2 linked regions of the Drosophila melanogaster genome follow. The protein of the gene in region 2 interacts with the protein of the main gene of each other region in a pairwise test. Each region holds a gene or a part of one and is shown on either strand. Other genes may lie near its edges.

What was found. The genes of interacting proteins can lie anywhere in the genome.
Region 1: the proteins of CG3726 (region 2) and CG12645 interact in a two-hybrid assay, tested with the Drosophila melanogaster proteins (one large-scale study listed by BioGRID).

The regions. Positions count from the first base shown.
Region 1 is NC_004354.4:10,151,173-10,155,870, reverse strand, and holds CG12645 (uncharacterized protein), read right to left. Parts: upstream 2,260-4,698; coding exon 1,926-2,259; intron 1,869-1,925; coding exon 1,721-1,868; intron 1,542-1,720; exon of another isoform or gene 1,487-1,541; coding exon 1,348-1,486; 3' UTR 862-1,347; downstream 1-861.
Region 2 is NC_004354.4:5,915,062-5,920,736, forward strand, and holds the start of CG3726 (uncharacterized protein), read left to right. Parts: upstream 1-2,035; 5' UTR 2,036-2,566; intron 2,567-5,675. Other genes in the region: Shmt (serine hydroxymethyl transferase), read right to left, coding at 1,202-1,408.

The sequences.
Region 1 (4,698 bases), 4.2 Mb from region 2:
TACTCAATATTACATATTACTTAAAGAAAATCATAAATTAAAGCACAAAATCCCCTAAATAATAAAACCGTCCACCGTCCACAGCAAACGCAGCTGTAGTAGCTTTTATGTATAGGAAAATGAATTAACACAATGATACGCATTGTTTACTGCTGACATTAATGGGCAGGCGCAAAAACAGAAGACCAGCCAGAAGCAAAAGCTGATCTAATTAAAGTGGCCAACTTATTGGGACGGACTGCCGTTGGCACCTCATTTTCATTGTTATACCATTACGTATTTATTATAAGTATGATTATTATTGTTGTTTTTGATTATCATTGTTTGTTACGACAGCAACGGCGCCAGCATCAGCAGTAGCAATAATAAACTGATGCGTGGACAAAGCGGCGTATACTTGATGCGATTGAGTTTTAGCTTCCACATTATTCCACCAGCTCGGCCATAATGCTCTTTTGGTCATTATTGTTGTTGGCGGCACCGTGAACCGACTAATTGTCGAGCTCTGTCCTTTTGTTTCTCGGCCCCGCAGCTGTGGCCTAGTCAATCCATCCATCCATAGCTGGGCTTTCAGTAACGGTTTTTGGCCCATTCGTCGAAGGCCATGTTGCGCTGAAGGCTGCAACGTACGAGGCGCTAATTGAATTTGCTGCCACCGCTGGCCAATTGCAGTACCAAAAATTGAACAAAGCCGCGCAAAGCACTGAAATAGGCAGAAACCTCGAAAACAAAAAAGCGCAACTGGAGGCCAAACAACTGCGGATGGTTCAAATTCTGGGGACACTCTTCTCGATTTCGGGTATATAAGTTCTTGGCAAAAGATTGCATTTGCCCTTTTGCCCAATTACATAATAGTTTCTTAGACATATTTATAATTTTATTGTTATATTTAAGTAATTGTATCTAAATTGAATACTCTCTTCTTTTTTTTGCAGGGTATCAAATAACGAACAGCATCCACAACAACCAGCACTCGTTGGCAGGATGTGCGAAACGGAGTGATGATGAGGCAATTTGTTTAGGCCAGTTATGCATCATTTGGGCGACAGGGCAGTTCAGTACAGAGCATGGCAATGGTAATCGGTGTATGGTGTCCGATGTTGAAAGGATTGTGGATTGTGGATTGCGGATTGAGGACGAAGGACGATGGGCTTAGGTAGGCAATTCGATTTGACGGCGCACAATTTCCGGTCGCGCCCGGCACTGCGTTACTCATTACAAGCGAATAAGCGCCAAGTCCTTGCGGTCAGAAGCGCGTGCCGCCCCACTCAGCTTTATTCGCACACACGGAAAACTTTCACAATTAGCGGCCGGATTCCGGCTGCGATCCTGCAGGATATTTCCGGACTACCGCCGCCGGCAGCAGCAGCAGCAGCAGCTCCTCGGATAATGTGCGCCCAGAAAGATCTCGCAGGCGGAGCAGTAATGATTCGTTGTCCGGCAGCCATTCCATAGATACGGAAACAGGCAAGCGCAGCAGCACCAACTGAAAACAAAAACATAGATACATATATACGGATATGAGTATATCAAAGTTCGAGGTATGTAAATCGAAAGTTACTTTATCTATTTCCATTATTTCATACGATTTTTGAAAGTTTACTCATCATTTTGTTCATATTTAGTGTTAAGTACTTGAAACTTAGCACTTCTGAAGCTAACAACGTTTTGGGTTAAAAGTTAGTTAAAATTTTCAAACTAATTTAAATACCCAACTCACCCAAAAGTGCACAAGCAGAGGGCCCAAAGGTTAGTCCGAGCATTAGGTGACCTCTTCAAACGGGTGACTCCCCGTTGACCACAAGCTGGGCACACGATGTCCATCGCCTGGCTACCCAGTTTGGGTTGCGGGCTTAGGATAAAGAAATCTGGCCAATACACAATTTCAAAATATGCAATCGAATGAGTGTTCAGTTCATAGTTACCATCGCACTTACTTCTCACTGGTGGCATTGCACGATGATCGATGCTATTGTTGTCCGCTAATCCTTCCGATTGTACGCTCACCTCGTCTTTCGTTTGGGACATCGGCATCGGCATCGGCATTTCCTCCACCCTGGACCTTAGATGTTGGGGTTCTGCAAAAAGGGTTCTTCGCCGATCGTTGGAATAATCCAAATTATTCTGAATCGTAAACGTTTGCATTGCATCATAGTAGGTCGGCGGTTCCGATGGCGACAAGGACATGGGTCGCTCTATCTGCAGATCCTGGCCGGGATCCTGGTCTTGGAACAACATGCGATGCTTCTCTTCGGCCATTCCAAACCCTTCTGTTGGGCCAGTTTCGCCCTACGATGGTTTTTATTCCTTGGCAAAAAAGAAACAACCAGCCAAAAACAGTTGTCGATGATAGTGAAACATTCTGGGCCAATTAACCAGCTGCTAGCGATATCAACGAGTCACCCCAATAGAAAACTCCACAGTTGGTCAAAAAGTGCTTGAAATGGAAATGGTCTAGCTGAATCACCTTTATTTCATCGTCGTTGGAGAATATTGTCAGCTTCCGTTTCATTTCCTGTTCATAACTTTTGCAATATGTGCTGCTGACCGCTTGCACTGGCAACACAAATTTTCAAATGCTCAAAAATACACGTAAATATTTTTACAAAAATTTCTTAAAATTATTTGAAGTGTATAAATATCTCTTTAAAACGAGTTGCATAGAATGTTATGAATCAAAATCTTATAGTGTTGCTATTTCTCGCATAGAGTTTTCCACAATGTATTCCTGTTTGCGTATTCATTTTTGTTTTTCTGTTTTCCTTCAAGTTTTTTCAATATTTTCCAACGACACGATGAGGATGGAAAAATGTGAATGAAATTCTGTTTGCCACTTTGCATTTAATTAACTTTATCGCATGCATGTAAATAGTATACAGGCGCAAATAAACTAAACAGGTATACGGCAAATTATAATGAAAACTTTCATTTGCATACGGATAACTGACATATCTGGATTAGGTAAAAAAATATACCTTTAGTTTATCCAAAAAAAAAAAAGGAACGTTCTTCTTTACATTGCTTAAACTAACATTTATCGTTGTCCGTTAAATGCCTGAACTTTCCTGATATTAAATTTGCCTGTTTTTTTTTTAAGGTCTTAAATTTTATTTATGAATTCCAGGGTGTGCCAACCTTTGATTTGCTTACTCCTGCTGTTGTTGTTCCGCCATCTGCCATTCAAATGGGAATCGGGTTTTTTTGGGATCGGGGCACTGAGAGCTGTCGCTGCATAAATTTGCAGTCCATTTCAAGTTGGCTCATCGCTTTGATGTTTGATTTATTGCACGCTGTTTGTGGGCCCAATGGGGGGGGGGGGGGGTGTGATAGGGGATTGAATAGGGGTCAAGGGGTTAAGGGGGGGTGGGGTCCGAGTGCCATGCCGTGGGCTTATCGGCCGACATGCCAGACAATTGTGAATAGCAACTGCAATTGAATTTGACAGCGGCGGAGTGAATGGGGACCAACTCGCGTATCAGGTGCTGACTTGGGTACGCAAATAAATGTATGAGGCGGGCAAATAAATCTGTAAAAGGGTTCGCATTCCATTATGGATCCTGACATTTGTCTATTTATGCATTCTAAAGGTCAGCTATCAGGGTTTAAAAATGGAGCTACATAAATAAGTTAGTTGTTAAAGGTTAACAGGGGCGTATCTTTATTATTGGATTATTTATTTATTTACATTTATTCCTGGCAGTTCATTTAGTTCATTAAATTCTTACATTCAAATTAAGAGCACTCATTTGGGCCACTCCTTGCTCGATAATCCCGACGATTGGCCTTCGTTTTTTGGGGGTCTTGGGATTTGGCTCAACATTCGTTCAACTGATTAAACTGTTAGCTTATTTTCGCACAGACCGCCTATAGCTCTCTCTCTCTCTCTCTCTCTCTCTCTCGCTCTCTCTAGCAGAAGCACCTTCTCTGTCGCACTGATTGCGGCTTTGGCTGAAAATGTGTGCAAATAATATTTCGTGTAATTGCAATTAGCGCCAAAAAGGTTTTCACCGTTCACAGCTGCTGAATGGAGCAGTCGTATCTTCATCTCCATCAGCGCCCACTTTTCACCACGCTTTCACCACCGCCCATATAATCTGCCTCTTTCACTTTTTTTTTATATACAAATATACATACATATATACGTGTATATACATATATATTTATATATCTATTTGTTGTTTGCTTTTGCGAGGAAATGCGTCCGTGCGAATTGCGATTTCTTCGATGCTTCAATTACATTTGTACACCTGGGAAAAATATTCACCCGAAGATGGCAAGTTTTGTACAAGTTTTGGTTTGGCAAAACATAAGCTTGAGAAATATTACGAATTGTTTGTAGTGTAGAAATACTCCATGTACCTAGGCGCCAGGAAATCAATGTTTAAAAGGGATGCTGAACTGCCTCTTCTCACACCCTCCTGCTGGCTTGTTAATTTGCCAAAAGAGAGAAAAAAAAGCCCGAAAGAAGTGAAGGAAAAGATATTGAAGGTGCCAGATCCACAAAACTCTACCCTCATCCGCAAAATTCTTCAGCCAAAAAAAAAAAAATGCTGAACACTAAAGCGACTAAATAAGGGGCAAGAAAAACAAAGGAAAAAGTCGAGTAAATGTTCCTTGGGTTCGTGTAAAATAGTTAAAGTTATGAGCCAAAATGGAGCCAAAGAGCAAAATCAACTCGCTCACACGCACACACATACT
Region 2 (5,675 bases):
CGCCAAGGCGAAGATTACGCCTGGATGCACCATGGCAACCACTCGAGAGGCGCTCCCCCGATTCCCTATTCCCGATCCACGATTAGATTGGCCAAATACCAGGGAAACCAAGTGACTTGGGTGCAATAACACGCCCATGATCGAAAATGCGACCCCCCATGGATGGGAGAGCGCGTCTATTTGCGATCCGCTTATCGTCAAGTGATTATCATCCGTCTGGGTCACCAGTTCAAGTCGCCGGACGACGATAAGGACACTGCCCCCCCTTTGCAGCTGACGCACTTCGGAAAGATCGGGAAACGTACGTATATAGTCGAAATGGAGAATATTGGCAGAAAATGGACAAGTTTATATGTATGTAGCTTCCTCCAGCAAATTACGTATCTCTAGTACCATTTTGTTGTTCAACGTTTCCAGCTGCTAACTAATAATCCCTGGAAGATTCTTCTATTTTCAACGCAGAAATGAATTGGACACGCAAAATTTTAGCTGCAAAAACTGGAAACTGGTGATTCCCACTAAATTGAATGCTAATTTCTGGCCACAAGTTGAGTGCAAAATGCATATACATATGTATGTATGTATATTTATATACAAATCTGCCCACACGAATGGGAAATTCGATTTAATGGCCAATGCCAGATTCTTTTTTTTTTTTGCGTTATCAGTTTAAATATTTAGACAAGTGCAAACGAGAATGACAACAACAATGCTCGATAGGGCGCAAACAGCCGAGAAATTCGAGTAGGCCCAAAAACGAGTTTCAGGCCGAGGTAGCGAATGTGAATCAAAAAGATTCAAACTTGGCGCATGGCGACGTTTTGAATACACTAACAGTACACTGATACAAATACGGTACATATATGTACATATGCTATAAGATCTCAATTAAACTACACATGTACATAGGTACTTAACAATGATACTACTATAAACAACACTTTCAGCGGATCGATGGCATGCCATCCACGTAGGGATAGTGCAGTGTGGGAACACATGGCTGAATGAAACGCATGAAGCACATGGCGATTAGCCGGGCATGCCAGGAGCCGCAAATGGAAGCGAAACACAAACTTTCTGAGCACCGCGATCACTGCAAGAATTAAAGGCAATCGAAATGCGAGTCCCCCAAATGGTTCAATTAGCCACACTTTTTCCACCCTCCCCTTCACTTTGCCTGGGACTTTCCCGGCGAACTCACCTTCAAAGTGCTCTGCTTGGAGTCCGAATATCGTCTGATCGCCGGTAAGAATGGCGTTGGTGATGGTTGTTTTTTGGCGGCGATGCGAGTTAAAGCTCCGCTAAGCTTTCCAGTCTCGAAGTTAACCGGGTTGCCAACTTTGGTGTTCAGGTCCCGACTAAGGCAAAACCGAAGCTTTTGTGTCAGTGTAGAGCGCGCCCGCTGCATGTCTTTGTAACTGTAATAAGCAGAATTTTATAGATTTTAGTGGATGTTTTTCAACAATCCTTGGTAATTATTAGTACTCACACGGCTGCGTTCGAATCGGAACTGCCGCAAAGTGAGAAGAGTCGCCGGCGCTGAGATGACGCCGCCGCTGGCTGATAAGCGATAACGATAACCCGTGACCCCTGACCGACCCAGTGATAAGTCCGCCCAAGAGTTCCGACCCGATCGCTGCGCTATCTCTTGGCCAGCATCCAAAATATTCGACACCGAAAATACAACGAAGCGAAAACACGCGTTACGTTGGTAAACAACATTTACCAGGCTAACAGATATCAGCTGTTTGGGTAGTTGGATCGCTGGATTTAGAAGCTTTTGGCGCCGTCTGGCAACGCTAGCGATAGCTACCAATTCTTGTATAAATATTTACAATTTGTGGAAATGTTAAGCGTGTGTGCCTCTTCAATTAATATTAACACTTTATTTTATATCATAATATGCGTTTCTCTCAATCCCTTAAAATGTACGTAGTTATCAAACGCGCGATAACGTTAAGGCATTTAAAGTACCCGCCAAATTGCTGGTACTGCGAACCGGTTTAAGTTGCCAACCGATTGGGAGAGTGCAACATCTCTCTCCAGCAACATTGCTGCCAGCCAAAGTCTATATAAGCAACAACGAAAGTTCAATTCTTTTCACTCAAAAATCCGTCTCCTCCGCGGTACGTTTCACTTCGCTGCGCCGCTAAAAGAAAATTCCTGGAAAATATTAACAAACACATGAGCCTAACATTCTTAACAATTCCAAAACAGAACATTTATTTTTGGTGAATTTCCTGACAATTTAGTGGTTAGTGTTTAATGTTAAAACATTGCTGTGCGCATTTACCGTTATCCGCTCGCAAGGCAAAAGAAAAAGCGCGCGTTTTGAATTCGCTGTTTCGCATTATTTTTTTTTATGTTAAAAAACAAAATATAGAAATGAAACAAAAATGGCAAGCCAGAAATTAAATGAATGAATGAATTTTTTTCGACACAATTCTGCTGCGTGTGCAATTCGATTCGAATAACAAAACAAAAAGCATAAAGGAAAAGTAAAAGAAATTCGAGGGGGGAAAAAAACGCCAAAAGAAAAGATAGCGCGAAAAGTCATAAAGAAAAGGTGAGAAAACAAATTATTTATTTCATGTGCTAAAAAGACACGCAAAACGAACGTCGTTTTATTTTTAGCCAAACAAAAGTTGTGTGTTATTTGTGCGATTTTCTGTTTTTGTTCGCCGCTCTCCCCTTGTTTTTTATCGTTTTTGTTTTTCAATCATATATTTTGTGCTTCTTTTTTTTTTTGCATGTTTTGTTTTGTGCGTGCTCTTTTTTGTTGAATGCAAAAAGGCGAACAAAATATTACGATAAAAATTCCGTTGTTCTCGCCGAAGGTTTCCGGGTTTGTTGACTTTGCCAGCTGAATATTCGAAATTGACATAAATAATAATCGCATGCAATTATTGTAAACAATTGTTTTTCGCTCAGGAAACGATTGGCGCTTTTTCTTCGCTTATTGTAATTGTTGCTGCCAACTAATCGCCAAGATAAAAATGAAAAAAGAGGGGAAAAAACCTACAGAGTTGCAAAAAATTAATTAAATTCATAGGCCAGTAATTTACATTTTTTGTGTGATTTTTTCGCTTTTTTTGTAGTTTTTGTCTAAGCTTGATAATTAGGGTTTTTTGCGGGCTGTTGTTTATCTGCTACAGTTGTACCCAAAATAATAGTCGATGCTTAAAAATGTTTACAAAAAATGTAAATTTTTGTGGCGCTTCAAATAGCTTTACTACGATTTCGAACACAATTGTATATCTTAAGTTTTGGGGCTATTTTTTGTGCTGGTTTTAAATTTTGGTTTATCGGTTTTTGTTATTTCTGTGGCTTTTAGTTTTCTTCTTCACCTGTTTAGCCTTATTTTTTGTTGTCGATTTCGGCTTATTTGTTTTTAGTTTTTTGTTGCACTATTTGAATGCGAGTTTTTTTGTTGTTGAGAGAGGCATTTCCGCCTTTATGGCAAAAGCAATTTACAATTTGCAATTTACTTTTCTCTCGTTTTTTTGCTGTATGGCAATTCATTTTTACAACTTTAATTATATGAACAAAAACTGCAAAACATGAACGGCAAAAATTAAAATTGCAAATCGCATTTGAGTGACGTCGCCGTCAACGTTTCTCCTTCCTTTTGTTTTTGTCGGCTGTTTTATTCGGTTTTTTGTTTTCACAGCGGCATTCGCCTGCGCAAAAAAAAATAAAACAGCGAATCAGTGTGTGGAAGATTGTGTGGAGGGGGGGCAGAGAGCGAGAGAGAGAGAGAGGAAGAGAGCGTATCAGGAGCGAATCTGGAAATTTTTGAACCAAGCTACCGATTTGCAAGAAGAACATGAAGTTAACAAAATATATAGGTTATTGAGCAACAAAATTACGTAAAACATTTAAGATATTTAATGGCACTTAACTCGAATATTTACCCCCTGATCCGGCCCTGGCTTCTGTGCGCTAGTGTTGGTGTGCGTGAGTGCTCTCTCTCTCGTTCGCTGCTCTCTGCTCCCCATCTTCATCGACCCCCCACCACCCGCCTTCGCCCCACTCACACACATTTCAATTACATGTGAAACGCGTGCTCCAAATTTCAAGTTCATTGTCCAAAAACAAATCAGAACAAAAGCGATAACAAACAAGCAAGCCAAAGGCAAAAAAACAAGGGCAGGTCAGCATCCGACGTGCCACGCCCCCAAATTTGGAATATATACATACATATATGCATATATGTTCATATACATACCTATGGACATAATTAATTAATTTATAAATGTGGGAGAAACGCTTAAATAAAGCCTAAAATTAGTCTAAAACTACAACGATTGATATTCCAACAAAACCAAATTCGAAATATAAAACATTTTCAAATCGATTTCGAATAAATGCATATTTACCTGGGCTTCGAGATTTGAAAGCTTTGCATCTAGATTTCATTATCATAAATTATTCGTAATATATGATATATCATGTAAAAAACTTTTGGGTATTCCCACAGTCGAGTCGAAATAAAGCCGTGAAGTATTTATAACAAAATCACACTTATTTTCGTGTTATTCCGCAACCAAATAAAAATTCTTTAGAAAAACAATGCGGCAGTAGGAAATAAAGCAAAAAACGACACAAATTTTGACACGAAATATTGTTTTTCGTGTGTGATTATTTTGTTGTTGTCATTTTTTGTCATACCAGCTTTAAGTTTAGTTTACTCTATGTGTTTATTTATTTTCATTTTGGTAGTTGGCAAATAAAATTCGCTTACGTAAATTTTGGGGTTGTTTATGTTTTGCGCACTATATATGAAAAATGATAACTATAATTTGCAATGCGTAAATAATGTTTGTCAAATGCCGACAAAGTTCCTTAAATCTATTCACAGCGTTTTCAATTTCAATTTCGCCGAAAAAGGGTTTGATTTTGCAACCATTTCTTTTTCATTGAGCTCCCCACTTTTTTTTTCCCTCATTCTCTGATATCAGCTCATATTTATAATTAAAAACAAACAATAAAAAACTGCACTGCAGACGGCAAATCGGAAAAATATAACAAAAAATAAAAAGAAAAGAAGCCATAAATATACACACATATGTGTATAAATATTTATATTTATATGAATTTGCGGGGCGAGACACTAAAAATAAAAAAACAAAACTAACGCTAGGCAAATTTCGCTGATAACTTTGAGAAGTGCTGAAAATACTGGGGCTCCAAAGGGAAAAAGAGTGTAGTAATAATAATTTAAAAAAAAGGTTGAAATCAATGCAATGCGAAGAGATAAAAACTATTTGCGTCGCATAAAGCCAAGCGAAACAATGGGAAATAATAGAGAAAATTTGAGAAAAATAATCGCCCTTCGAAAGTCGAGAATTCTTTGGCTCCCAGTTTCTTTCATTCGCTTTTTGTTTCTCTGTTTGTCCAAGGTTTTCAAATCAAATTATGTCGCGATCGAAAATCACAAAAAAAGGCAACACAAATACGGCCTCTATTTTTATGCAATTAACCGCCAGAGAAAAAAAAACGAAAAAAACATTTTCAAATAGGAAAGATAAAAACAAACAAAACACACGCACACTCCAAATGGGGAACAAAAGCGAACTCTACAAAAATCACCCAAAACCAAAAAAAAAAACTACACATTTATAAATAAAATAATAACAATAAAAAGCCGAATACGAATCGAAATTATGAATCAC